4 linked regions of the Lepisosteus oculatus genome follow. The protein of the gene in region 4 purifies or fractionates together with the protein of the main gene of each other region. This does not show direct contact. Links are inferred from orthologs where the notes say so. Each region holds a gene or a part of one and is shown on either strand. Other genes may lie near its edges.

The links.
Region 1: the proteins of map3k7 (region 4) and irak1 purify together in Homo sapiens (affinity purification with western blotting; 5 studies listed by BioGRID). This does not show direct contact. The link is inferred for Lepisosteus oculatus from reciprocal best matches to the Homo sapiens genes MAP3K7 and IRAK1.
Region 2: the proteins of map3k7 (region 4) and usp18 purify together in Homo sapiens (affinity purification with western blotting; 4 studies listed by BioGRID, with this or other methods). This does not show direct contact. The link is inferred for Lepisosteus oculatus from reciprocal best matches to the Homo sapiens genes MAP3K7 and USP18.
Region 3: the proteins of map3k7 (region 4) and ripk1l purify together in Homo sapiens (affinity purification with western blotting; 5 studies listed by BioGRID, with this or other methods). This does not show direct contact. The link is inferred for Lepisosteus oculatus from reciprocal best matches to the Homo sapiens genes MAP3K7 and RIPK1.

The regions. Positions count from the first base shown.
Region 1 is NC_090697.1:75,465,884-75,472,723, reverse strand, and holds the start of irak1 (interleukin-1 receptor-associated kinase 1), read left to right. Parts: upstream 1-3,824; 5' UTR 3,825-3,961; coding exon 3,962-4,157; intron 4,158-6,840.
Region 2 is NC_090702.1:9,053,636-9,061,600, forward strand, and holds the start of usp18 (ubl carboxyl-terminal hydrolase 18), read left to right. Parts: upstream 1-4,962; 5' UTR 4,963-5,201; intron 5,202-7,846; 5' UTR 7,847-7,871; coding exon 7,872-7,938; intron 7,939-7,965. Other genes in the region: pex26 (peroxisome assembly protein 26), read left to right, coding at 1-83. UniProt on the Homo sapiens protein: Interferon-induced ISG15-specific protease that plays a crucial role for maintaining a proper balance of ISG15-conjugated proteins in cells. Regulates protein ISGylation by efficiently cleaving ISG15 conjugates linked via isopeptide bonds.
Region 3 is NC_090701.1:4,748,207-4,755,134, reverse strand, and holds the start of ripk1l (receptor-interacting serine/threonine-protein kinase 1), read left to right. Parts: upstream 1-3,908; 5' UTR 3,909-4,217; intron 4,218-4,724; exon of another isoform or gene 4,725-5,056; intron 5,057-6,294; 5' UTR 6,295-6,328; coding exon 6,329-6,480; intron 6,481-6,928. UniProt on the Homo sapiens protein: Serine-threonine kinase which is a key regulator of TNF-mediated apoptosis, necroptosis and inflammatory pathways.
Region 4 is NC_090697.1:7,519,439-7,526,915, forward strand, and holds the start of map3k7 (mitogen-activated protein kinase kinase kinase 7), read left to right. Parts: upstream 1-4,453; 5' UTR 4,454-4,688; coding exon 4,689-4,749; intron 4,750-5,100; coding exon 5,101-5,189; intron 5,190-7,477. UniProt on the Homo sapiens protein: Serine/threonine kinase which acts as an essential component of the MAP kinase signal transduction pathway. Plays an important role in the cascades of cellular responses evoked by changes in the environment.

The sequences.
Region 1 (6,840 bases), about 68 Mb from region 4:
GGGGACGCTCGAGAGGTGTCACGTTAAACCTTTGCAAGGCACTAGTGAGACTGCTTTGAGAACACTGTGTGGAATTTTTCACCAGGTTACAGATCCATCCTTCCATTTTCTGACCTCCTTATCCAATACAGGGTGGCGGGGAGGAGCCTGGGGTCAGTTTCAGTTTTCTGGTTGCTTTGGGGAGTCGGATTGATGAACTGCTGGCCCGCAAGTGAGCCAGTCGGGTCGAACCCCTGTTCTCAGGTTCGTTCTCCAGCCCTTCTGCTCGACAGGGCGAGGCAGAGCACGCAAACAGCGCCACGCCACTCTGGCAGCAAAATTCAAATCGCAACAGCTTTATTGGCACGACCGGTCCATGACAGAAAATGCCGGAGCCGATAGAGTCAGTGCAACATCTGCGGACATTCACAACACTGACACACAGACACATCCTAGGACCGTCAGGACGACACACGACGCAACCACCTCCCTCCTGCTGCAGACCGCGGAGCGCGCCTGTGACGAAGAGCGCGGGGGGGGTCGCCGAGCTCTTTTGGCAGTTCGCGCGGGATGCACTCAGCATGACTCAACTGCTGCCGCTGCTGCAGCAAGAACAAGCACACCATTCAAGTGGGTGGGAGAGAGAGAGGCGGGGGGGAGGGGGGGGGCTCGGTCTCCCCCTCTGTCAGCGCGCCGCTATTCAGGTCGCTTCCAGGCGGCCCACACGGCTCGGATGACAGTTTACATCCCCGTTTCTTAGAAAGCTCTGCTGCACAGAGGCCCTGCGCGGTTCCTCTCGCGCTCTCAGAAGAGCATGCTCTCTTATGAGCCTTTACACTGCGTGGCTGTAATAATAGCAACAGCAGTAACGATCTGCCCTCTGTGCTGTGCCCTGCCTGTCTTCACGGCTGGCAGTGAGCTCACCCCGTTTCAGCATGCGGTTTGCATCCTGGGTTGTTTCTAGCTCTGTATTAATTTAGCATCATTGTACATCAATAAATGAAAAATATATGGATCCCGCCGGTAAAAGGTCTGGAGTGCAGTACAGCGAGAGAGATCATGAAAAGGCAAAGCGCGTTTCGCCAAAAAGTGTTGACTAAATGTAATAGGAAGTTGGGTTCATATTTTGCACGTGTGCTCCTGGATTTTTTTGACAGCCTGCCTGTCTATTATTTTATTGATGGGTGATCATGGAGGCTGGCATGGTGGCACAGCAGTTATTACTGCCTACGGCTCTGGGGCTCCGGGTTCAATTTTTGGGTTGCTGTCTGCGTGGAGTTTGCATGTTCTCCCTGTGTTAGCGTGGATTTCCCCCGGGCGCTCTGGTGTCCTCCCACAGCCCAGGGACATGCTGGTGGGTTAATTGGCTTCTGGGAAAACAGGTCCTGGTGTGAGTGTCTGTGCCTGTGTGTGCCCAGCAATTAACTGGCTTCCCATCCAGGGTGTATCCTGCCTTCGCCACCTGCCTGCCGGGATAGGCTCCGGATTGCGACCTGAATTGGATATAAAGTGGGTGAAGAAAATGCTGATGATTATAGGACAAGGTACCTAAACAGCTCATCCCCGTTTCTGAACCCCCTCCCTATGCTCGTCCTTCTGTATTCCTAGATTGCTTTGATGGGATTGAGGCCAGAGCATTAATCTCAAATCTGCATTTCTCCCTGTGTCACGGAAACAGCTCTTTGCACCCCTGGCAGCATGCTTCAGAGCGCAGTCGGGCCGGAAGCAGAGGTGCTGCACCCCCACATGTCTTCTCCAGCTGCGCAGTTCAGTCTGGACTCTCCCATTTGTTTTTCCAGCCAAAATCGGATGACAGACAGGACCACCAGCTATTCCTTCACTCTTTTTTTTTTCTCGTATCACGTTTAGCACGTGATCAGCTCTCTTCACAGTCCAAGGTGCACGTTGCCATAAACAGCAGAAACAGAATGATAAGCTGGGGGTACTGCGGAGTTCTCGGTATTGGAGATTCAGTGTACAGCATGAGAGGCAGAGTCTCCACACTTGAAAGTGAATTCTGCCATTTTTCATTTCCTGTCAGCTCTGCTGTCCGGGGGACTGTGTCGGCTTCACTGCTTCTTCTGCTCTGTTTTCCTCTCCAGGGGTTAACAGCTCTTTGACGTCGACAGACACATGAGATTCGAACCCACAACCCTTACTACTCCTCCACTCTCAGCTACTTTGCTGTACCCCTCCTGATGTCTCCGATTCCCAATTCCTGGACCTCAATGGAATTTCTGTGCTGTCTGATTACTAATTGCCATTGATTGCTCCTTAAAAGCATTTAGGGGTGGAATTCACTCCAAAGATGTTAAATGAAACGTTTCTTAACACAAATTGATTTGAGAGCTAAAAATGGTTTCTGCTTTACAGACGGCATCTGTATGGACATGATCTGTGAGACCTCACAAATATTTTGACTCTCTGCAACATTTAATTAGTGTTTGCTGAAATCAAATCAATCAATCACGGCATTTCTGTGGATGGTTCTGGGGCGCGAGAGAGCTTGTTATAATAATAATAATAATTGCTTACACTTATATAGCGCTTTTCTGGACACTCCACTCAAAGCGCTTTTACAGGTAATGGGGATCCCCTCCACCACCACCAATGTGCAGCCCCACCTGGATGATGCAACAGCAGCCATAGTGCGCCAGAACGCTCCCCACACACCAGCTCTCAGTGGGGAGGAGAGCATAGTAATGAAACCAGTTCATAGAGGGGGATTGTTAGGAGGCCATGATTGATAAAGGCCGATGGGGGAATTTGGCCAGGATGCCGGGGTACACCCTTACTCTTTTCGAGAAACACCCTGGGATTTTTAATGACCACAGAGAGTCAGGACCTCGGTTTTACATCTCATCCGAAGGATGGCGCCTGTTTACAGTATAGTGTCCCCATCACTGTACTGGGGCATTAGGGTGAGCGCCCCCTACTGGCCCCACTAACACCTCTTCCAGCAGCAACCTTAGTTTTTCGCAGGAGGTCTCCCATCCAGGTACTGGCCAGGCTCACACCTGCTGAGCTTCAGTGGGTTGCCAGTTGTGAGTTGCAGGGTGATATGGCTGCTGGCTATATCACTGTTGTTATCTTTAGGTGTGGTTTTTCCAATGACAATAAAATCTTTGGAGCATTACAGCATATTCATAAATATGAGTAAAAATAAAAACATAAATGCTATTTCTAGTTCAAGCCACCCCACCTCAGAAGACCGAATAAATGGACATATATGTTATTCGGAAATGGGAGTCACTTTATAATAACAGGTAGCTTGTGATGGATCAATTGGAAATTTGGTGTTTCTTCCTGCAGAAATACATCTCATGCCCAGTTTGGAGTCTTAACCGGCATTTTAACTCACTGTTGTACTTGGACTATTACCTGTGACAAAAATGGTCGCTGGTGACAGTTACAACACACCCAGACACTATGTGGAGGCTGAAGCGGATATTTGAAATGAACACTGATATTTCACAGCACAGGGTGCCCATCTGTCTGCGGCAGTTCTCCGTATTTTACGACACCAGTTTCAATCCACAACACGATTCCAGTGGGCCTGAGAGCACTGTGTTACGTCGAATGTCTTCCCACTGGAACACGCCTCAAAATCAGCATTATTATTAGTAATCTCTCCGCTATGATTCTCTCTCTATATATATTTTATTTTTTTGAGGGTGAGAGAGCGGTACGTTTGTAAACATGTCATGGTTGGGATTGAGCTGCGAGAGGACCGACCGAGACGGGAACGCAGCGCCTTGAGATGTCGCGTATCCCTGTGCCCGGTGCGCCACACTCAAGATGGCGTTTCCGGCCAGGACCAGGTTTCCATGGTTTCCGAAGCGCGTTTCCGGAGTCCTCCCCGCCTCCTCGGAGCCCAACCAACCCCTTCGAAAGAAAAAAAAGTCCTTCTGAGTCTTAAAGGGGAAGTGAGTCAGTAGCGTGGAACCTCGCAGATGGAGTCGCCGCCTCCGCCAGCGGAGCGATGGTTTTGGACGGGACCGTTGTAAGTCCGAGGAAGGCGCTGGCCACTTCTCCCGGAAACCGCCCGGAGCCGAAGCAGACGAAAATGTCCGCCGGGAGTATCGAGGGGCAGTACCTGTACCGCCTGCCTGCGCACATCACGACCGAGTTCTGCAAGGTTATGGACAGCCTCGACAGATCGGACTGGCTGCGTTTCGGTGAGTTAGCCCCCGTCCGAACTGGCGGTCCCGGTGCGGGACCGGCGGGGGTTGGTCCGTCCCGGGACTAGCCGGCTAGCGGCCGGTGTCTAATCGGCTTCCCCCCGGGCTGAGCTGTGCGCTCTTGCGGCGCACGGAGTGAGACAGAGTGGCGGGCTGGGCTGGGCTGGGCTGGGCTGGGCGGGACGGAACCGAACCGAACCGCTCCGTTTCGGACAGGTCCACGACACCAGGCGGTCCCGTTGCAGTGATCATGGGGGGGGGGGGCAGCAGGTTAAACAGGACCGGGGTCTGTACAGTGTGTATGGTGGACTTTCCATTCTTAAACTCGCATTCAAAGGCAGCAAAATCGGATTGATTGCCGAGTTACAAGAAATTATGTTAAAATACGATGTCGCGTTGTTGTTGTTGTTGTTGTTATGGGAGCTTCCGTGGCGCTGCGGAGCTCAGGCTGGGGGACTTGAAGATCCCGACTAGAGGGGTTGCGCAAGTGTGTTACAGAGCGCTGCTCCGGGTCAGAAGCGGCGCTTTCTGCGCTCTGCAGCGCTGCGCCGGTGACATGCCTTGATTTTCACTTGCGATCCGGGCACTGCGTGGTGCTCCACGGCCTGAACTGCCGTCTCGCCGGCGCCCCGGTCCCGTGGCACTACAGGGAACTTCGGTTCCCCCTGAGGCCGGGACGGGTCCGGCTCCGGCCCCGTCCACATCGGCCCGGCTCATCTCGCCTCCCTCCCCACGCGAATTCTTGGCATTCCGAGCGTGGCGCATTCCACGGAGCCTGCGTGGAGATCCCCCCCCACACCTCATCCATCCCACTCCGGTCTGGTCCAGTCCAGTCCGGTCCGGTCCATGTTCACTGTGGCCAGTGGTCCCCTCCCGGCTACATGACCGTGGCTGAGCAGAGATGGACAAGCTGCAGGTCAGTTCCTGCAGTCAGGCCTGCTCCTGGCTGCCGGGGTCAAAGAGGAGAGGGCTGACCACTCCCCCCACCCCAGAGAGCTGGAAGCAGAACTGGTCACAGGGTGCCGTGTTTCGAGACATGAACACGGGGTGTTGAACATGGTAGAAAGGGGAAGTGTGCCCTTCAGCACCCCTGGTGCTCTGTCTCACGGTTCAGCAGTGCGTAGGGGTCTGGGTGAGGCAGCGGCAGTCTTCTTTTAGGCCCGGTGTTGCCACTTTGCCCCTGATAGGAGTTGCAGTGCAGGCTTCCACTTCCCTGTCAGTGACCCTGATCAGTTCTCAGTCCTGTGGACACATCCAGGAGGACCTGGTGAGCTCTGAGCCCAGAGTAGGATTAAGGGCGGGTGTGTCCAGTCCTGGTCCTGCAGGGTCAGTGTGTGTCTGCAGGGGGTCCAGTCTGGTTCTGTAGGGTCAGTGTGTGTCTGCAGGGGGTCCAGTCTGGTTCTGTAGGGTCAGTGTGTGTCTGCAGGGGGTCCAGTCCTGGTTCTGTAGGGTCAGTGTGTGTCTGCAGGGGGTCCAGTCCTGGTCCTGCAGGGTCGGTGTGTGTCTGCAGGGGGTCCGGTCTGGTTCTGTAGGGTCAGTGTGTGTCTGCAGGGGGTCCGGTCTGGTTCTGTAGGGTCAGTGTGTGTCTGCAGGGGGTCCGGTCTGGTTCTGTAGGGTCAGTGTGTGTCTGCAGGGGGTCCAGTCCTGGTCCTGCAGGTCGGTGTGTGTCTGCAGGGGGTCCAGTCCTGGTCCTGCAGGTCGGTGTGTGTCTGCAGGGGGTCCAGTCTGGTTCTGCAGGGTCAGTGTGTGTCTGCAGGGGGTCCAGTTCTGGTCCTGTTGGACTGGTTTGTCTGTGGGCTTTGTTCCATCTTGACTTTGGTCAAAAACAGGTGTTGGGGTCCTCTGAACGAGGATGGGGAACCCCTGACTGGCTCACACGCAGTCAGCTGACTGGTTTTAACACACAGGTGGCTGCGCTGTCTCAGGAGCAGTGATGTCAGTGCTGTGTGCCCCTGAGAGAGGACCTGGCTGTGCCTTAGGGGAAAGTTTGACTATTTTTATTCCTTTTGCTCAGGCATAACGACACTTTTTCCTCCACATCCCATAGTGTTGCGAGGAGCTAGCTGTGTAAATTCAGTATAAACGCAGTGATATTTGTCTGGATCCTATGTTTATCTTGCATTGGGCTGGTAGAACAACGTATATTACTTTGTAAGCTGTATGTCTCCTGTAGCAGATTGAGAATAAATGTCGCAGCGCCACTGATGAGGGCTTCAACATCTCCCCTCTCACTCCCCCCCTCCATGTACCCCCCCCTCACGCACACATAGATAAGATAAGATCACCACAGACAATGTCTTACATTAGGAATTGCTGACCCTGCTCTCCAGGAGACACACAGACAGGGAGAGAAGCTGGGGGTCAGAGCGCAGGGTCAGCCATGTATACGGCAGTTGGAGTTAAGGGCCTTGCTCAGGGGCCCAATCCTCTGCCGGCCATGGGATTTGAACCGGCAACCTTCCAGCCACAGGCGCGGTTCCTGAGCCACAGAGCCGCTGCTCCGCCACACTCAGGGGTTTCAATCGGAGTGTCACAGCCCGAACCGGAAAGGTCAGGTTTTAAAATCCGGGCTGATCTGAGTCCTCCCGTGTCTTAACCGGCGTTCAGCTGTGTTTCAGGACTCAGACTCAGCAGCTGCAGCGATCGTGCTGGGCTGTGCGTGCGTGCGTGGGGGGGCCGG
Region 2 (7,965 bases), on a different chromosome or scaffold from region 4:
GGATCTCCAATCTTCTCCAGATGTTCCGACAGATGTGGGATACTATGTTTGCACCCTATTACAGAGCTGCTGTCACAGACTAAGCAACAATCCAGCATTTTTTCAAAACTTGGCCGACTTTCATTGCAGACTCTGAAGAACTACAGGTGGTCTCCTTGAGTAAATACCATATATTATTTATTTATTATTATTTTTAATCAGGCCCAGATTTTGCAAGAAGACCCGGAGAGAAGAGAAATAAATAAAACTGGACTGTCCTAAGATATACTGTGCTGCTGTGCAGGAGATTTCAAATGAAGGCCAATCCTCAGAGCCAACATACCTTTGAAACATGGATGCTGCTGTAAAGTGTTTTTCATTTTATTTTCTGTAATCTGAGCTGTAAGGATGTCTTTACATACAGGATATACAGTTCCTTCTAGGTTTGCTCATATCCCTGATACAGTAGGAACACAAAACATCATAGAAAGAATTTATGTATTGGATAATATGTCTCACTTAAAATGAATCTGAAAATGTTATGTTTTAATCTAAATAGCATTGGACAGAGTAAAGTCATATGTCATGATTGGTTTAAATCCAGAAAACATAAAGGTAATTGGTATTTTGTAAATCCCAATCTTGTATAGATTACACTATATGCCTCTTATAATCTGCTATGAAGTTCTAGTGCTTTTAAAGGGAGAATTGTAACCATTCCTCCAGCCAGGATTGCTCTAGTTCCTTCAGACCCTGGGCCAGTAAAGAACATTTATTTTGTGTGTAGCTAACCACGTCATTGTCCATTGGAATGCATGCTGAGGATCACTGTCATGCTGGATTGTGCATGGTTTCCCAAGCTTGAGCTTTTTTGCACAGGGAATTGGGTATTTGGTATTTGGGTATTATGGTTCTCCCTTAACCAATGAATATAAGCATAAGCTTCACATTTTTTAGCCAAACAACACTGATAAGCATGTCGAAAAGATCAATTTACGTATGTTTGTATGTTTTGTCTTATTATAAGACATGGTTCCAGTTGTCCATCAGATGTAGTCATTCAGTCACAGCTAAATGCACTATTGGAGGCTTCTCTATATATCTGCACTTCCCAAAGCAAAAAGTAAAGATTTGTTTTCATTGAACTTTATTTAAAAGAGTACTTAGAGGTGTGAAAAAATGTGTTTGTGTTTCCAATTGTGTTTTCTGAAATTCAGTTAATTATTTCGGACAAATATTTAATTCTAACTTTGCTATGTGCAATGCTTTATTATGATTATAACATTTTTAGAATTTTTTAAAGAAGTTACATTATCCAGGCCATATCTCATTCTGTTATAAGAGGTTTTTGTATGATTACTGTAAATCTAGAGGACATTGTAAATATTACATACAAAAACCAAAAATCCACTAAAACAATTAGACTACAGTGTACTTCGGAATCATTGGCACACCTTGATAAATATGAAGAAAAAAAGTATAAAACAATGAGTTCATTAAGCACTGAAATATATTTCTAACATAAGTAATTATGCTGAATTAATGATTAAATGAAATCAACCAAGACAAAAACTATTATAAATTATTTTCTCCAAAATAAAAGAAACATATTTTATTACAATTATTACTGTTTTTAGTACTTGGTGGACCCTCCCTTGGGAAGGATGATGGCAGTAAGTTTTTTTATATAATGCTTTATCCGATTGGTGAACACACTGTGAGGAATTCTAGACTATTCCTCCATGCCGAACCTTTCCAGGTGCTTGAGGTTTGTAGGTGTGCGCTTATAGACAGCCCTCTTCAGCTCAGACCGCAGGTTTTCAATAGGGTGCAAGTCTGGCGACTGAGTTGGCAAAGCGTTGATTTTCTTTTCTGTCAACAATTTCTTTGTTGATTTTAAAGTATGTTTTGGATCATGGTCATGTTGAAAGATCCATCTTCGGCCAAGATGCAGCTAAGAGGCAATCAGGATTATGGCCAAAATATTCTGCTACTTTTGAGAATTCATGATGCCATCGATCTTAACAAGGGCCCCAGGACCACTGGCAGCAAAGCAGCCCCAGAGCATCAAAGATCCCCCACCAAATTTTAAAGTAGGTATGATGCTCATTTCAGTATATGCATCCCTCTTCTTACGCCAAACATGACTGTGGCCAAAAAGTTCAATTTTGATCTGACCACAGCATCCACTCCCAGTCGATATTGGTATTTTGAAGGGTTTACTTTTTTAAAATTATTTGCTTTTTGAAGATCAGCAATGGTTTGCCTAATTTCTGTTGTTAGTTTTTTCAGCTTCCCCATGCTTACAGATGTCAAAAGGTTTTCCTGTGTGCGTTTCGTCATTTTTATACCCTAGGGAAACAGGAAGTAACTAAGCTACACACATTAGTTCCTTAAGACAAAATTGAACTCATACAAGTATTAATGTATTATTTTTTTCAAATGTGTTTGATTGTATTTGAAGGGTTCCAATAATTTTGGCACCTGTGTTTTTCAGATAAAACAGCATTGCTTGTTTGCAATTGAACCTTAAAATGAGAAAATGTTTTAGAAAAAGAGGACAAGTATTCCCCTAACATGAGCATTAAATATCATTATGTGGTTTATTTTATTAATACTTTTTTCTTCATATTTATCAAAGGGTGCCAATAATTTCGGAGTCTGCTGCATATGTACATTCCTGTACTGACAGTCCTTATTGATCTTCAGCCCAACTCCATTCAGTACCATTTGCTTTGTACTGTCCCTCAGTGAAAAGAATTACTTTCATCAAAATTTTGGAAGTGAAAGTATCGGTTTTATAAAATCCAACATCGTTTGTATAATTTCTTGTCAGTGAGCTATCCTAAATGGTCTATATAACAATGCTTGTGATTTTGTGTTTCTGTCCATAAATTCTTTGTACAAGTGGTGTAACTCTTCACTGCAGGAGTGCTCCACTATGGTGAAGACGATAGCAAATAGTGAAGTATGATGCTGGGTATTCATATTTTTCTGTAAAACAAAGGTTTCCAAGAGATATAATGACTGTAAATCCTTCATGTGATCCTGCTGCCCAGTGAAAATCCAATGTAAGTAGCGTAACGTGTTGCCTGTTTTACTTGGGTACACTCAAGGAAATTAAAAAAAATGTCTTATGTGTGATGTTTGAAAAACGAATTCTTCAACTTCTGCAGTACTCTCAGAAAGGTGGCTTTTGAATTATGTGTATCTTTTTCAGCACAACATTCATCAGTAAATTGCCATAGTAGCAATAGCAGTTAGCTCATCTGCCTGGCAGATCTACTGTATCTCTCCTGTGTCTGCATGCTCTATTCCCCCCTTCACCCAGTCCACACACATGCTGTTCAGATTCACTGGTGTCCCTGAATTGGACAATCCATCCCCAAGTGTATGCCCTGTGATGGGCTGGTGTCCCATCCAAGGTGTAGTCCTGCATTGTGTGATTCGGCCTGCCAGGTTAGGCTCTGGTTCACCATGACCTTCTTAAGGATAAAGCCGGTATTTTAGATGGCTGGATTGGCTTTAAAAAATGTGGAATATGCTTGAATTACTTACTGTATATCAGAGGGAAGAGCAGGCTATGAAATCATTGCCAAAGTCATTGCAGACCCCTGATCTTATCCCCACTGAAACCTTATTGGTAGATCCTAATGAGTGAGTGATGCAAAACGTTCAGTGTTGGCACAAATCTACACTGTATTTGATATTTTGATATTGGATCATTTGCACACGCCAGACAAAAAGCTGTGTGGTAGAATGTGCTGCTAGAGTCATGCTTTAGTCTCCAAAGAGTTTCCTGTTTCAAGCAATGCAATATATTGATTCATTACCTTGGTTGTTTTTATTTTTCTGAGTGGCCCCATACTTATTATTGTCAGAGTAGGTTTGTAGAACGTGTTGAACCATTAAGTATATTTAACATTTTCTTCCACTGACTGTTCAGCTGTAGCCATAGATTATTTCTTAGTGTCACCACTTGGAATATTGTTAACCTGTGATTAGTGCTGTGGACCCATGCTTGCAGTATAACCATGTTTTTTAAAATTCTTTTATCTTAACCAATTTAGTGAATTGAGAACAAATTCACTTTTCCAATTGTAACCTTCCTGGTGAGGAGGTAATTGTTTCACCTGGGATTTGAACCTATGACCTCTGCATTCCAGAGCCCTAACAGTACTCCATGCTGTCACCTAACTACAACCAGATAGAAGCCAAACAAATTAAAGACTGATGGCAGAAACTGATATGTTATATGTAATTGAAAATCTGTCTCCAGGGGACTTTAAATTTAAATTGTGGGGATGTTTTTTAATTTTGTGGGAAGGATTCAAAATGTGATCTTATTGTTAGGTTTGTCATTTATGTACAGAATGTCAAATTCATATAAATAGCTTTTATGACCAGTGTGCAGTATGGATACTTATTAGCTGATCTCTTCATCTTCCCCGTGATCCTGGTTTTATGCACAGAAAATTCATTTGTCCGAGAAGCACAGTCCTCATTTTTTTAAATACTCTCTCTAGTGATGTACTGTACAGTATACAGTATGAGGCTAATGTACTGTACATATATTGTCACGAATGTTGAGTTGTCATTCCATCATTAGCACTTTAAATACTTTGCAAAAACCTTGTGGATATAGGTTAGAATAAAAAACGATTAATTTTTATTAAACAGAATTTTGCTGTTGGAAGTAAGCCTGTCTGATAAACGTGCCCGAGGATGTCTTTATTCGGCACGCGAATGGGTAAAAAAAGGGCAAGCACACAGTTATCCCATTTTTGAGGATGAAGTGGTGAGAAAAAACCCTATACTTATTTCGTTTTATCTTGTATATTATATATTTAACCGAAATTCTAGTGGTGCAATAACAAAATATACAATCAGCCTGCCGTCCCGCACTTAAGATTTTTTTCTACCGGGGAAACGGCTAAGTTTCATTTTTAACTGCAATGAACAGTGTTGAAGAAGCGAAACCGAAAGACGAACATCTGTTTACTCAGTAGCTTGGGTACCTCAACTGTAATCTGTCAATACTGTATTCAGACACAGAGTTGACCGAGAGACGTTACTCATTACAAAACAAACACTGTACAGTAAGTTAGGATTAGATTTGAAATTGTATTTTTTAACGTGAATTTTTATTTTCGACATGACGATGAGCGAGCTAATCGAACTGAGGATGTATATCATTTGATATGCGAGTTACTCGAAATACAGTAAGTATTGTTTTGTTCTCATCTTTTTGTCACTTGACGTCCTGAAGCCTATGTCTGGACAATATTCTTTTTAACAGATTGGGGCATTTAGTATACAGAAGTCACAACTATAGTATTCTTAAAAATGACAATGAGCAATGCAGAACTATACTGTATGTACTTTTTTTTTCTTTGGGGGCTGAGTAAGGACATCACTGCGCTCAGTGTAAACTACTACTTATTATGTTTATTGGGCCATTTAATAATACCTTTGTAATATTTTTTAAATTAATGCAACAGAGTATTTTGTTTGATTCTAGTGCAACCGTCCTACAACTTATAAAGTAGTTTCTCTGGCCTTTGATAGTCTGTTTTCCTCGTGATATTGGTTTAACATGGTGACGTGATTAACCCCTGTGAATTTTAGTATTGCTCAAAGTCTTGCATGTACAATCCAATTGGAAATAATGACATTTTAGAACTAATAAAACAATTATTGTATTATTATAAATTAATATTAACCCATAATTGTTTTCAATAATTTACTGTAAGATCATTTAACAACAACAGGATTTTTGGCTTTTATATCTTGATTTCAAAATCTTGATGGAATGCTCTGCATTTCTGTCTTTTCTGGGACAGGAAAATGTGTGTACAGTACAACAATTTAAACTAAACTAAACTTTAAACCGCATATACAGTACATGGGAAAATTACAAACTGTAGAAATATAACCTTTTGATTCCAGTTTTCACTAGGATAGGCTGAAGTTCACATTGAACACTATAAGGTATTTGAAAGGGAGTTATTTTATTGTTACAATTATGTGGGAACAGTCAAATTAAATCCAAGGATTGAATGCTTTGTGAGAAGTTGGATTATTTGGTGAGAAGAGTTTGTTTTAACCTGATTGGTTAACGGGTAGCCTCCTGGCCATAGGGATGAGGAGACTTGAACCCCATTCAGATTGAGTGAACCAAGGGGTACAGTAGCTTTAACACGGAGATGAGGCAGAGGAGGCATGCTAGAGAGGATTTATGGAGCTAGTTTGGTGGTGATGGTGATCAGCTGCTGCTGTGCGAGATTGACATGTCATTATTATCCCTCCCAAACTTCAGTTAATAATTTCCAGTTTGAAAAATATATAGTCTCTGGCACAGTTCTGGTGAAAGAGTAACAGATCAGAGTCTTGGATAAGACAAATATTTATTAACAATAAAATACCATGACTAAACAACACAAAATGTTCCACAACATACACCAGTTACCCTCTCAACACAAGAGGGTACAAGATTATATATACTATATATTTCAGAGGCCTATGTTTTACTGACCCACAAACCTGAATGCTATCCCAGAAACCTGAAACAATATGTCATGACTAAACAGTCATTACATAGAAACAGAAATACACCCTGCATCATAAAAGTATATGACTTCGAACTAAAAGTCTTTTCTTGCAACATGGATGCTCAAAATTAAAAAAAAATGTCACCAGCTAGTAGAACATTTTTCATAATTTCTTCAACCAGGACAGCAGGATCTCAAGAGCAAGGTTCAGATTACCTACAGTAGCCTGAATCTGGTCTCCAAGACCGATCGGAACAAGGTCCTCTTGCATGACAGGGTTTGAAAAAGAGGAGGGTGATTGGAGTTCCTTCTGTCTGTGTCCCTCTTTTTTCTCTCTGTCTTCCTTATTTATACTGCTGTCTGTAGCTGTTGAATGTTTACAGTATATTTTATTATTGTTAACCAGAATAATACACCAGAAAACCCATATTAATCATCTGTGATTACCTGCCTTTAAGATCACCTGCAGCTAGGCAAACATTACAAATAATCCTTATTATTTCTGTGTTATGAGTGAGGCTTTGGACAGTGCAATAAGATGTGAACTGCAAAAGTTCCTGGATTGTAACATTTTATTATGTGGTTGGAGAAATAAAACCTGAATTTCTGTGATTATCTCATCAAGCTGGTAACAATAGGTGCATTCAATCCTAGTCCACAGTGGACGCAAGTCTACAAGACTCTTTTAGTACCAAGAGATTAAGATCAGCAAATTTGTTCTCGCCAGTGATGTATGTGTGACTGACAGCCATTGTGTTAACTGTAATGTCCACTTCATGTTCACTGGAATAAACTTAATTGTTTCCTTTCCATGGGTAAATTCTAATACTACTTTTACACAGGGTGTACAAATGTACACATGGTCAAAAGTCCTCCTTCAATAACTCAAAAATATAATGAACTCAAGTTTTGTAGTACCTTTGCAGACCTTATTAATCTGCTGTCCTGCCCTGTAGTGTATCAGTCTCTCTGTTGTTTGGTTTATAGGCTTTCAAACTATATGTACAAATTCAGAGCAGGCAAGCTTTGTTTTGTTTTTATTTTCATTATGAAAACTAGTGGTGTGATCATGCCAGTGCACTAACTATAAATAATTAAGAACAGATTGGTAATGGGACTGGTTATATCTGGTTTTATCACAGGTATTGATAGTGACTGCACCTTTCAGCAGAATTTTTCATCTTTCTCAAACCGCCAATATTGGTCATCAGGAGTCACCTCTTGCACCCCCAATTAACACCCCCCTTAGGTCACCCTAATGTTTGAATGTATCGAATGAATGTATTAAAGTACTATTATTTGTTTTCATTTATCAGACTTTTCTTCAAGATTGGATCAAACATGCTTGGCCGCTGCTTTACCAGAAGTTATTCCTTTCAAGATTCAATGTCCAGTACCAGGCTACCAGGTGTGTTAGCCGAGGAATCAACATTGA
Region 3 (6,928 bases), on a different chromosome or scaffold from region 4:
GCAGGAGGGACGGTTACGACAGTCACGTTTGTTCAAAGTGGACAGGTGAAACTGGAGGCCTTCGTTAATTATATTCCGCGGCATAAGAGAGCAGTGGAAAAATCACGGCATCACCTGATATCACCTACCATTCTGCCTGGCCCTGGAAGACTTGCATAATTCTGCAGCTCACTGTCATGAACAACTCTGTGGAAGAAGAAATGGAAAACATTGGAAAGCAGTGCAAAGGCAGCAGGTGTGCCGAAAGCACGGCCGTTATTTATATTAATGGCCACACAGTGCATTTTGAAACTAAAGTTTTGAATGATGAAAAGACGTTAGATAAACAAGGTATTGCTGATGGTGACTTTTCATTTTTATTTTCATTAATGTTTTTAACTGTTTTCTAGAAAGGAAACAACGCCCTGATAAAGAAATGGCTGTAAACCTCAAAGGAGTGTAACAGTGGGGACAGAGATTAACTCATATTCTCACACCTGACTGCTGCATCTTCCGTTTCCAATCATTTTAACTCTCGAATTTCCTCTGAAAAGAACTGTGCAAACACGTTATATGTACTGTGTCAGTTATATGTATACTACATGCATCGAAGTTTCTTTATCATCCAGGTATTAAAATTGTTGCTGAACCCTGGAAAGCATAATCCTCTGGAAACAATCCTTCTGCGACTGGAGAACGTCTTCCTGGTGTATTGTAATACAAATATATTGCATCTATCATGTACAGTACCTCATGGTACCACAGCGTTTCATATAAAGAGCATTTGGAATACTATACACAGAAAATTTCAATTGCTCTGATGCAAATTAAACTGCTCTGATGGCATCACTACAACAGCTGTCAAAAAATAGTTAAAAACTAAACGACGACACCCCTACAGAAAAGTTTAGAACATAACAACTTAAGAAAAATTGCAAACAAGATGACATTTGCTCTTGTTGCAGGTTTGTTTTGGTTTTTTTTTGCGATCTAAGTGTCGCATAGCGTCTTTCAGGACACTATGCAGACAGCCCAACCCGGAAGGGAGCGAACAGACACGGGGAGGAGACGAGGAACAGGGCTGGTAGACTAACAGGGGGGCGTGGCGAAGGTGCTCGAGGGGGCGTGGTCCGGGTAAACAGCCCAAAGGGTGTTCGTAGGGAAAGTTGCACCAAACCCCCTTTTAAATAAGCAGAAATGTATAAATATGTTAGATTTTCTGTAGTATTTTTATATGCAGACCTTCATTTGTATTGTCAGAGAAATAAGCTTTGATGACATGTATGTAGAAATAATTATTTTCAGATCCAGTACGTCCACGTCTTTTTTGTGAACTTAAGAATCTTAGCCACAAGAGGGCGACAGTGCCAATAATTCGTTTGGAAGATGAAAAACAGGTATTCGGGTACACTATATTCTGAATACAGAATATAAAACTAGAATCATTAACAGGAACAATAAAACTGATTTAATAAGCAGCATCTAACGATTCTGCTCCATAAATAATCCATTCCTTAAAGACTTTTCTTGTAGGGGTACAGCCGCGTCACCCAGATCTGACGTGAATCACACTCCTAGAAAAAGCATGGCAGCCGTTGTGCGCCAGCAATCTTTCAATTAAGCAATATTTCAGTTCAGGTAGGTCTGATTGTGTAAGATGAAAGTCCTCATCCTCAGGACATTCTACTCTTACAGATCCAGGGAGTTTGAATGAACTTTTCAATAATAATAATCCCTTACACTTATATAATGCTTTTCTGGACACTCCACTCAAAATTCTTTACAGGTAACGGGGATGATGCGACGGCAGCCATAGTGCGCCAGTACGCTCCCCACACACCAGCTATCAGTGGGGAGGAGAATAGAGTGATGAAGCCAAATAATAATACTGATATGTAGTTAGTTGTAACAGGTAGTAAACATAGTTAGCCATGTGTTTTGTTTAATTTAGTTATAGTGTTTTTACGTGACATGCGTCATGTCATGCGTAGTAAGGCTGTTGTGCGTCATTCCTGTTCCGGTAAGGCGGGAGAAAGCAGTATGGCGTAAGACCCAACAGCCTTGCTTTGCTGCTGGTGTCTTGGCTGTATGAACGTCTGCCTATACCTCTTGCTGGACCTCGTCGTCTTCGTTAAAACCCACGTTTACAATGCTACGACCTGTAGCACTGTTCCCCCAATCAACAGGCTAAGGTGTCGCGTTTGGGTATTCTGGTCAAGGGTAACACCTGCTTGATCACCCTGGAGACTCCCCACACCAGTACTGAGCAGGATCAGTGTGCCTAGCTTTATCTGACCAGATCTGCTCAAAGCCAGCTAGAAGATAGTAACCAAATACACAATACAAATGTCAATAGAAGCAGTTCGTGGCATGATACATAACATTAAGTCTCAGTTAAAAAAAAATATTGCAATACGGTGTGTGATCCATAACTTTTCAGTTAGATACCTTAAAAAAAACAGATATTTCCTTCAGCTGTCTTCTTCAGCTAAACGTTCACCCATTTCTTGCTGTTATTTTGTATTTTAATCAGAATTTGTTTTGGAAAGAATGACAACTTCAGAAGTGTAGTTATCTGAATAGCGTTTGGAGCCGAATTCACTAGGTGGTGCTATAAATCAAACAAGTGTATTCCCTCCTCAAAATTCAAACTGCGTTTTACCAACGAAGATTCTTTTTTACTGCTTTGGCATTCCTCTTTGTAAGTGTACCTTTTCTTGAATAGTTATTTGTATAAGTCCCTCTTTGTAAAATTGTGCTTATTCTTGAAGTTTTTTGTATTAGTAAATCTTATTTTGTTCGTCAAAAGGTATTCGCTCAGCTTTTTGAATGGCAACTCTTAAAAGGCTACAAAAAGGTGATCATGTCCAAACAGATACTTTAATAATTAAAGTTTATTTCGTTAATTCTTCTCAGAGATGGAGTGTGTAAACAGTGGACTCTCCGCCCATCGAGGAAATGGAGTTGCCCATTTCTACTCAACTGATTTTTTTTTCTTGCTGTAATCTTATCAAACATTAAAGTACAAATTCTTCCTCAAACCCTCACTGTACCAGTCTATTATTGTTCGGGCTTTGTAGGACACTTTCGGCCGAACCCTGCGCGACAAAAACAAATCGGTGTTCCCCAGCTCCCTTCCTTACAAAGTCCTTCGTGGATGTCTTTTTTTTAAATCCACACAATCTTCCAAAATGTAATCTTGGTAAAAACATCAAGAGAATAATACAAGAAGATAAAACAGCATGTCGCACTATAACCATGACTACACAAGACAAAACAAAAATAACGGTGAATTCCAGACTGCTACAGTATACAGGTCTAATAAGAATATCTTAAACTCTAATATTTATACTGAATATTAGAATACTAATTTTCTAAATGCTATGAATATGAATACATGAGATGTTGTGAATATGAATACATAAATTAATCTGTATTGTTGACATAAGTTCGTGCTTTTTATATACAGTATATTTGAAAAAGACAGGTGTGGTGACGGCTGTTGGTTAGCCGTGGTCACGTACAGTACAGTGTGCGGCCGAGATGTTTTCTCCCAGAACAGAGACTCCACATTTTGGAGGGCTGTGCGCCAGCGAGCTCTGAAAAGCTTCAGAATCGCGATTCACTGCTTCCTTTTTGAAACCGTAGACATCGGTGAAGAGAAAACACTCTTTTTCACACCTTTTTACCGTCACACCACGGATCTTGGGTGGGAAAAAAGGGCGAGCCTGCAGTTCCATTCAGTTTTTCATCAAAATACAGCTCTCCCACCCTCCGCAGCAGGCGCAAGGAGAAGAAGCAAACCATCAATATTCTCAGACTGTTTATTGTTTATTCGCTGGGAATGCACCATTCAGTTAACAGTATACCCCTACTTTCTCAACATATCAGTTTATTATAATTATTAAAGTATATTAATATAAGCATATTAAACACCGTCTCGGGCAATCCAGGGAACTTGCGAAGGGCTATACATTTTTCCCAGCCCCTTTCTGAGGTCTCCGGGAAACGTCATTAGTTAAACTCAGACGGCTCATACAGTCTCGGCGCCGCAGTCTTCTCAGGAATTTTATTTGATCGATTTTCACGTCTCGCCTCCCGTTCCTGAGAGCTTGTTGTGACAGCGTGGACGTGGACTGCGCTCTGGTCCGCTCGACAAAGGAAGGGCGCCGCCCTGCGGCCGTGGGGTGGTCTGTCTCACACCTGGCTGCCAGCCCCGGACACATTGTAGCCAGGCGGTAGGTTTAGCGCCGTGTTTCGCAATGCTGACCGGTCCTTGACACAACCTTAAATAACTTTACCTATTAAATTGTATTCCTTCCAAAGCAGGATGGCCTTAAAACAGCTGGTTCTTGTTACAGAAAAAAAAAGGTTTGTGCTTTCAACCCCTCTCGATCTCAGACACGGAATTGGACCTTGCCTCCAGCTCCACCCACGCGTGTTTGCCGGGAGCGTGGAACCGTTTTGCACGACATCTTCACACACACACAGCCAATATCACATCTGCCTCCATAAGTTATTATTTATTTTCTTTTTGTGTTACTTTACATATTCTTGGTTACCTTTATATTATATACATGCATACCTGTATACTTCTACGCTTATATATCCTCTATTTTACCGGCACTCATGAGGTTTATTAGTGCTTTGTCGCTGTCGTTATTAGTATCAGTACTATTAAAAGGCTAAAAAATAGGTAAACCGACATCATATCCAAACAGATACTTTTAATTCGGTGATTATGCTGGGAGATGGAGTATAAACAGTGGACTCTCTGATCATCGCGGAAACAGAGCTGTATTTTCCTGCTGTAATCTTATCCATCTTTAAAGTACAGTTCTTCCTCAAACCCTCAGTTTGCCAGTCTATTGTTCGGGCTCTGTAGGACGCTTCAGTATTGCTGGGTCATGCAAAAGAGAGTGGAGATCGGTTGCTCGGTGTCGATTGTTAGTGTCTGAGGAATCGACACCAGTGGGTTTTCCCTCTTGCTCTTGGGTTTCGTTTTGTCTGATCCCAGACCCGAATATTGAACAGGAAGTCTGAAAAGGTGCTTTAAACGACGGGGGAATGCGTAAAAGTAAGTGAAACTCTCGTAAATGGTCTTTTTCCGATTAATCGTCCTCTGCAGAGTAAGAGTTTTTTTTTTTTGTAAAGAAAAATAGTTTTGCTTTTAACCCTTTTTGTATGATGTAGGAACTAAGGTATTCCGTTTCAAATAAAACGCTAATAATAATGATGTCTTTTTCCGGGGGATGTAGGAACGGTTTTGTCTCATCTGTAGGCTGGGCATTTTGTGAACTGGACGTGTCAACGATAGATGTATCGACTGGTTTGACAGTAGTATTGGTTTTGAATACCTGTCCGGTATTTAACGCTTTCTAAATATGCTAGTCTTTTTAAAGGTAAAATATACTTAATAATGCCGATATTATTATGTGAATATTCACAGCCTTTTCTATAGGTTGTAGGCACTTTTCTGCTTCGTCAAACTTTCCTGGTTTGTTCTCTGCGAATACGCAAAAAGTTTTTCCTCTTGCAAAGGAATATTAGAAATAGACAAAAGTTAAGAACAAATACTCGATTACAAATATCTCCCATACGTACGTATGTTTCGTTTCCAAACTGTATTTAACAAATTTAATGTTTTCTTAAATAGTGTGGTTTTACCATGGATAGCGCATAGTGCCCTTATTTTTGCAGTTGTACGTCATAGCAAAGGAGGGACATTTTAACAAGATTAACGACTTTTAGATTCTATTTCATAACTAATAAGATTAATTAAGACCTAAGGGGGAGGTTGTGTAACCCAGAAACGAAAAAACTGAACCCGATCACGCATACCAAAGTATGAAGAGCGCACCTCCCATTTTCAAAGGAGCAGTATGTCTTTCATTGAGACAATTCACACATGGCAAATTTGCAGACGTACATTCGCAACCTCCCAGGTATTCTTGCTCAGCCCATCTGATTTGCTGTAGCCAGTTGTGTGTTTGTCCTGGCTTGGCTGGCAGCTATATGGTATGTGGCAAGTCATCGATTTCAGCTGAAGCTAAACGTATTGGAAAGCTTGCATGAGCATGAAGAAAGAACTGTTCAGACGGTTCTTCCGAGTGCTCGGCGAAGCCTGGAGGGATCGAATTGGGAAGGTTACGTGGGTAGCATTGTGATTGCTGTGTGGTGACAGGAGGGCGCGAAGCACTTGGAATTGAGGGCAAAAGCAGACACGTGTACTGTAACTGCGTTGTGTACTAGGCTGTTGCACGTTACACCGTGTTACTGTCGTACTGAGGCCTCTGCCACGTTGTTTCTCCGCAGGCTGTCTGTAGAGCAGCTTCTGGAGAGCGGAGCCATGGCTCTGGAGTCCATCCGTATGAGCTCCACGGACCTCATCAAGAAGGAACCCCTGGACTATGGCGGCTTCGGCCAAGTCTTCCTGTGCTACCATCAGAGCCATGCTCTGGTGGTCTTGAAAACAGTTTACACCGGGCCACCACGCAATGAGTAAGTCAGACTCGGCAGTGTTTTAAAGGTGGCTGTTCAGGATCTGTTATTCTCTGTGGACCTCTTTCACTGGTGTTGGAGAAGCTGGCCAGGATGATGGACGAATCGGAATAGAACAACATCTTGTTTTCTTAGGATAACAAGATACCTTTAGCTTGCACTGAGGTGGACGCTTACATTTTTGGGGTTCAAAACTTTGAATGCCAAAATCTGAAATGCAGTTCCCCGTGTCAGTAGGGTGTCGTCTGTGTATTGTCAGCTGGGTGCAGGGCTTCAGTTTTGACCAATAAAAAAGCTTGCAGGCCCCACCTGGATAGCTATTGTAACAGTTAAAATGTGAAACCAATGGCTTTGCTCTGATTGAAATGGATTGAAACTGCACTCTAAGCAAGATTGCAAGATTTTGCAAAAGTAGATGGCAATTTTAAAAATAAACAGAAAATGTCCT
Region 4 (7,477 bases):
TACAAAATACTTTTAAAAGGAGATCATATGGCTGTCATCCAGAAGGCACACCTGTGCCAGATGGAACAAGACATTGAGTTAGGGTTTAGAATTTACCTTAGTTTAACCTCTGAGTCAGCATTGTTCACAACAGATGTGATTTTGTTGCAGAAGTTAATGTCAGCTATTTCTAGTCTGTGACGTATGAAGTCCCTGTCGAATTCCAATAAAACTTGTAATACTGCTCCACCTCTATATGTATGCATGTCTCTAAATGTTCAGATGACACATATCATTCTGGTCCAGACGGTTCACGTCAGTTCAGGAAATTAATTATCTTTGAAGTGTAATGCAATTTTGTGTAGGGCAATGGGCACTGATCTCCCTAAAAGGCAGGAGGAAAAAAATGCAGTGAAAGACATCAGAAGTCACCTCAAAAATGATAAACAATGGTCACATTTAAAATAATACTTTACAGGTAAAAGATTTAAAAATAAACACAAAGAATCAGAAAACTAATTAAAGGGTACATTAGCAGTCTATGTACAGAATTGTTTGCAGTTTTAATCAATATTAAATATAGATCAATACAGATCTATAAAATAAAGCACAGAGTTTCATTCATCGTTATCTCAGTAATTGTAAGTCTATGTTCTGAGGAATGAAAAAGTCTGGAAGACATTTAATTGGTCAAGCCCCTGGGGATGAATAAAGTATTTTGAATTGAATCAAAAGACCTGCAACAGATTCACAAAGTTAACTGAAAAAAGACCCAGTCTTTGTTGTAGCAGCAGCTGTCATGTTACTGAACAGACATGACATAGATAGATGTCATTTGGTCACCATTGGAAGCAGTATAAGATCTACACCAGTGATGCTCTGCACCGGGTTGCAGCTGATTGATTTTTCATCAACAGGGATGATGAACTTGGGATCTTGAGTGAAAGTTTCTAGGCTAGCAGCACTGCTGAAAGCTATGCTGTACCTCTGCTTCACATGCCTTGCGCCAGGTTTTCAAATGCAGTCAAGTTGGGTTCTAACCCATTTCTTTCACAGATACTAGACAAGCATGTGCAGTACCTCCCCATTCACTGGTCTCTGTGCCCTACATGCCACACATCATCTCGGTTCAACCCCCAGTGTTCAATAGGGATCAAGTCATGCAGTGAATCGACGGCGACGAGAACTTGTGACATTCTAATCTTGCAGGAGAGCCTTTTGTACACGAGCAGCATTAATGCTCGGCTTTGTCCTGCGTTTGTCCTGCTGAGATGTGCGTCATGTCGGGATGAGCCTACAGGAAGGGCAGTAAGTGAAGGCCCAGGGCCTGATCAATGTTGGGGTGTGCAGTTAGGGTGCCATCAATCACTGGAAGGACAGGCTCCGTAGCTACCAGATGCTCGTGCCCAGAATATCACACTGACGTGATGATGCATCCAAGTTAGGTGTCATGACTCCCAGCCTGTAGCCTAGACTTGTGTTTTTCAGGTTGTCTCAGTTTGAGGTACAGAGAGTTAACGTCTATGTGGTGCCCGCAGATGTCTGTAAATGTCCTGTTAATTGTTTCTGTCTTGGCAACTCTGTAATTCATCGGCCATGACAATTACATTCTTGAAATTAAAATCTGAAGATGGAGGCAGTTAGGAGTTCAAGAGGAAGAGAAAGAAAAGGAGGAAGTGAATGTGTGTGCAAGGCAGCAAGGGGAGAGGACAGACAGCAGACCTTAGCAGTCCAGCGCTGGGGGTGGACGCTGCAATATCATATGTCTCTATTGTGGAAATTTTGTTATATCAATGTTTTGTTTTAGAAAATACATGAATGTATTCATGGTGTTTTATTTTAATAGTTTACTTACATTTACTCCTAGACGTCTGACGTATATTCCTTCTGTAATAAGATTTCTTGTTAGCAGGAAGGTTTCGCTAATCCTTTTAACTATGCAATGTAGCAGTCACATTAGTAATGACAGGAGAACAGTAAGATATTTGTCAACAATGTGTAAATCAAGAGTTCTGAAGTGGTGTACTGAAGAAATATATACAGATGATAGTATATTTCATAATCAAATTGTATTAACTCAGGGCTGTTATGTTAAATGCTCATACTTGCAGTTTTTTTTGTTCTGGTTGTAAATCTTAATGGGAAGAGAAAAGACAAAAAATGTTATTAAAATTGTATAATTGAGCACCATAATTTAAAAGGCAGCATTCAGGATATATTAAAATAATAAACTTCACTATTTCAACGGCATCAAAAGTACTGTAGTTCACATTCTTGCAATACTCGCTACAACCTCTGCTTCAGAAAGTGCATCCCAATATGAAACAAAAAAATCACAATTTTACTCATTTAAAAAAATAACACTGTGCAGGGAATGAAAACCAAAGAAGGTGCCAACTAAAGAGCAAACTACGGCAAATGTCACAAAAAACTGAGCGACAAAAGTTGAGAGTGGGGCAGGAGCCTGGGGCCTATACAGACAGTAAGTTTGCACATGGTGGCCAGGGTCTTTATCACGGGATCCGTTTGTCTTTCCTCTTCAAGCTTCCCCTCAATCTAAGGTCTTCCTAAGGCACAGGGTAGGACGGTGGGGAATCCACAAAGACTGAACTACACACAGTTTGCAGAGACACACGTCAATAATCACACGGTTCAGAGGTGACTTGTGGGATTGCTAGCCGGGAAATCTAGGTCTGACACCAGGGGGGGCCTCTGGAACAGGAGACCAATGGACACTGCTGCCAGTCTGTTGACTGGGCCTCCAGCCGTTAGCTCTGCCCACACCTTAGGCATCACCAGGACACACCCACCCCTCAGCTTTCGAGTCCTGATCTCTGGAGCAGGAAGAGGCTTCACAAGCCCCACTCAGGAAGAACTGAAAGAGAAGAATTCGGGGAACACGGGGTTTCACCAGAGGGCGGACTATAGGAGAGGACTTAGACATCACAGGGGGACTCTACACGGAGCAGCAGAGGAAGGCTCAGGCATCATCTTCCTTCCACCCTCACCTGTACTTGACTTGTACTCACACAACACTAGGAAACAAGGCTGGGGAAAGGCATAATGGACCACATGTCTCTGGAGGCCAAAGCTGGAGAGAGCACTTACTGCAGGTCATTTAGACCATCAACGTTTCTCTGCCTTTTGGCTAAGATCAAGTGTAGTTCGTGCAGTTTAGGCCACTGAAGGACCAGACGCGAGTTTCGTCTGTTTGGTCTGCTGTGGCAGAAAGAGCCAGACGCCGGGGGCCAGCTGGAGCTATTTTCGGAGAATTGCGCTGCTGGACTTGTCCTGTGGGACATTGGTTTTGGGAAACTGTAGTCCATGGGGCTCTTGTGCTGCTCCGTGTGCTCATGTGTGTCGCTTCTGGTTACTTTTCCATGTTTTCTTTTACAATTAATGTTAGACTGTACTTGACAGAGGAACAAAACTATAATGATGTAGATTAACTGTCTGGTCTGATCTGTGGTTCCACAGATATAAAGAACCTGTTTTGAGTGAAACAGGGTCTTAGTGACTACAAGCTACAACTGTCCAGCAGTTGAGGTCCGATACTATCTATCCGCAGCACAAACAACACACTTCTCTTGTATTTCTGTACTCAGCAGCACAGTAGACTTTGCAAATCCAGTTTAACTCCTCATTTTAATTTATTTTCATGCAGTCTCCTTAATATTGGTTTCCTCCTCTCCTCTCCTCTCCTGCACAAAAACAAGATACTGTACTCCAGATGGGCCCCTTGACTACACCAACAAAATGAATTTTAAACAATTGTATTTTTAAGAGTAATTCAACTGGCTGTCAATTATCCTTAATTTAAATAAGGAGTGTAAAGGAGTCTCTTAAAAGAAGCAAGATCCCATTTATGTTATTGTATTCAGTAGAATATACTACACTGCTACAAACCTCTATGCAGACGAATAAAGGACTCAACTTCAACCTTTACTCAACAACTTGGTTGAAAGATGATTTATGCGTGTCGCCCCTAAGGAAATCACAGGTGTCTCCGAAAGATGACTGGGAACTGGTAAAGACCCTACAAGCAGATCATGAAAACTCACATCAGGCTCCCTAGTCTGCCTTCAAGCCCCGGGGCTGTGACACTGTGTGAGACTCACCACCTTCCACCCCTGTGCTTATCAGACTTCCATGCATTTGAATGTGTCCATCTACTGTATGGATTTTTAAATATGCATTTAATATGAACATTTCTTAACCAATGCAGGAAACTAACGGGGCCCGTTAATTATTTTGCACCCCAAAAAAAAACCATGTAATTTCAAAATGTTAACCCCGGTGTTAAAACGTATACGCGTTTCAGACGAACCCAATGCAATCGTAAAAACTACATCTGTAACTAAGATCATAATGTGGTCTGTAACGGGGTATTTTTTCGGGCAATTGCAGATACCCCTGTCCGCCCCCCCCTCCTTCACAGCTCAAGCGCCGCCTCGGCGGGCCGGCTGTCGCTGTCAGTAGCGCCTCTACGGGCGGGAGCACGAACGCAGCGGAGCCGGAGGGGCGCCTTTCCGAGCAACACCCACTTCCTGGAGCTGCCGCAGCAACTGCGGAAAAAAAAAAATACTGTAGTCAATGGAAACTCGGCTTTAAACTTATATCGCCGGATCAAATGGGTCCGAGATACTTCTTCCTTTTTGGGAACGGGTCTGCTCGTACGCGCGGGTTGTAGCCGCAGTTCGCCAGAGTAAATGACACGCACCTCCGCTCAAGGCACAGCGCCGATGTGGGAAGCTCAGTCTGCGGCAAGGGGTAGTCAGTTCATCCCTAGGCTGTAGCCAGGCCGACAGCGGCCTAGGCGCTTAATAACTAATCGTTCAGTAACAGTGATTTTAGTAGCTGTAAATGCATACTTTTTTTTAACGTGAGGTATTTATCCACGTGTTGTTGTTTTTTTTTTAGGTTAACAGCATCTTGCTGTCAGTAGGCTATATTAGCAACGTCTTCAGACTTTTTTTTTCCAGACTGTTGTTTACGTTTGCAAAGTAATAATTGGTCTACCAGATCAGTTGTTTCTGTTGTTGCTCGTTATTACGATGAATCTTATGTGAACTTTTTCGCATTTCCGGATGTTTTTGATAACCCCTCAACTTTGACGAATAGCGATGTCTGCACCGTCCGCAGAAATGATTGAAACTCCACCAGGATACCCTTTCGAAGAAATTGATTATAATGATATAGAAGTCGAAGAGGTAAGGTTTTAAATAAGGGCAAGTCTTTTATCTAGGCCACTTAGAGAGGACTGAATTCAAGGGAATGTATAATCACTTATTGAAACATCATTTGAAGTCTGCACTTCCCACGGTTAGATGCAATCTTTTCTAGGGGGGCTGATTGATTCGTCTAGGCTTGTTTTGGCTAAGAAGTTAAATTTACTCCCCGCAAAACTGCAGCTCCGCGATTTATTAAATTAATATTTTTGGGATTGTGAAAAGGCTACGACGTTTTTTTTGTGTGGAAATAATCGGCTGAATGTTACATCTGCTGTGTACCACAGAATAAATGCATATAAGTTATTTTTCCTCTGCTCTCCTCCGCATATTTCGGTTATCGCGATTGATTTAAGAGCTGCAAGACCTGTTTTCACTTTTTAGCATTGTATTTTGTGTTGCACATCTTGTGTGAAGAAGAGAAAATCCCCTTTATGCGAGTGAATTCTACAACAGTGGTTTACAACAAGGCCTTCATTAAATATGTATTGAGTACTGACAACGTAGTTTACTGTGGTTGAAAGGGAAACAACTTACACACTATTTATTAATAGATATCGAGTGGAAACATTAGCATTTTAACCACAGTGCATTCCACAGAGTGGTGAATTGTAACCGTATTTGTTAAGTAGACTAAAACCCACAGTCTGTTTTCGGAATGCCCGCATTGCTCAAAAGAACAGCTTACAAAATAATAAACTCAGTTGCTCCTGCTCAATGCATTCGCAAAACAAGGAACTTAGAAAAGGTTTCGCTCTGGGCCAAAATTTGCTTCGATTATTATGCATTATGCAGCCAGATAATTTTCCAAAATCATACTTCAAACACTTTAGAAATGAGTGCCCTCACTCCTTACTAAGCCGTGCTCCGTTAACCAAGACAGCAGCTTCATAATGACTTTACAAATGGTGAGATGTGACTGTAGAAAATGTTAATTCTGGTGTGCCTGTTCTGCACTTCTTGTCATTCCCCGAGAGTGACATGTGAGAATGTGGGACATGCCAAGAAATGTACGCCTGCGAATTTGTGATTGTGTACAGGCCTCGCTGGTTCGTTTGACTCAGTCACACTGCAATGCTGCAGCTGCTCACTGAAAGAGAAGGGAGACATGCTATGGGAATTGTGCTGACAGGTGTGTACCTACGGGACAGCAGCAGGGCCAGAAACCGATAGGACACACGCTTTTTTGGAAAAAAAAAACAGTCCACCCACCTGAGGGGTCACTCCTGGATAGCAGCAGCAGCTACAGGTGATCTTGCAATAGAGCATCACGGACGATTCATGAACCCAATTATGGCCACCAGAAGTCCCAGGGTTGCCAGTGCCGGTACCTCTGCAATAGGAATGAACTCACTGGGCTGCACTGACTATTCTGTTCTATGATGAATTTCTCTTCTTCGCACAGGAGAAATGTTTGATGGTGGTGGAGTCATGCTGTAGACGAGGTGGGATTTTAATTTAGGAGTCTTTATTTTTGCTATCGGTTATCCATTGTACTGGCATTTTAAGGCTTGGCATCAGCACCACTAATAACCTAATGTTTTGGTACAGTTATGATCAAAACCCACGTCGCAACAGTCGCTCAGTCCTCCCAGCCGCGTTTTGGGAGCAAGCTCGTGTGCTGTTCTTTTATATTGCTGGCTTTAACCTAGTCCGGCACCTGTGGAAGAGGTTGGTGGAGACATGCAATGTGTCAGCATCTGCTCATGTGTAAAATTCAGCTTTTGTTAGGGCCTGGCAGGTGGTTTTCAGACTGAGTTGGACTAACCGTGGGGACACCAGCAAGGTGCAAGTGACTAACTATACCATTTCACATATACTCTGCTGGACTTTCAGACGTCATCAGAAACGTTTCCAAAAGTAATGTAGTTGTCCTTGCCCAAACCTGTATCTAGAATAAAGTTACCTTTTTCTTGTCTGATGTCTTGAAATGGGTTAGTTTTCTCATTTTAAGAGTATGCTTAAGTGAAAAGTTAGAGAATTATTTCTCATGTTCATTACTTTTAATTGTTCCTTACAGGTCCCTCAATTTTCTTTGCAAGGCGATCTTAACACATTTTAATATTGCTGTATTTTAAAATGCATTATTGTAGTGCTTTTTTATATAATTGGCATCCCTGTTATCCACCAAAAGAAATTCAGACTTTCACATTTTAGACTGGTGTTGACTGAGTTGTATTCCAAACACATGGGCACTTAGATCCCCTTATGACGCAATAGGGATTTCTGCACCTAAGTGCTTTGGATATAGGGACTGATGTGTTTGAGGT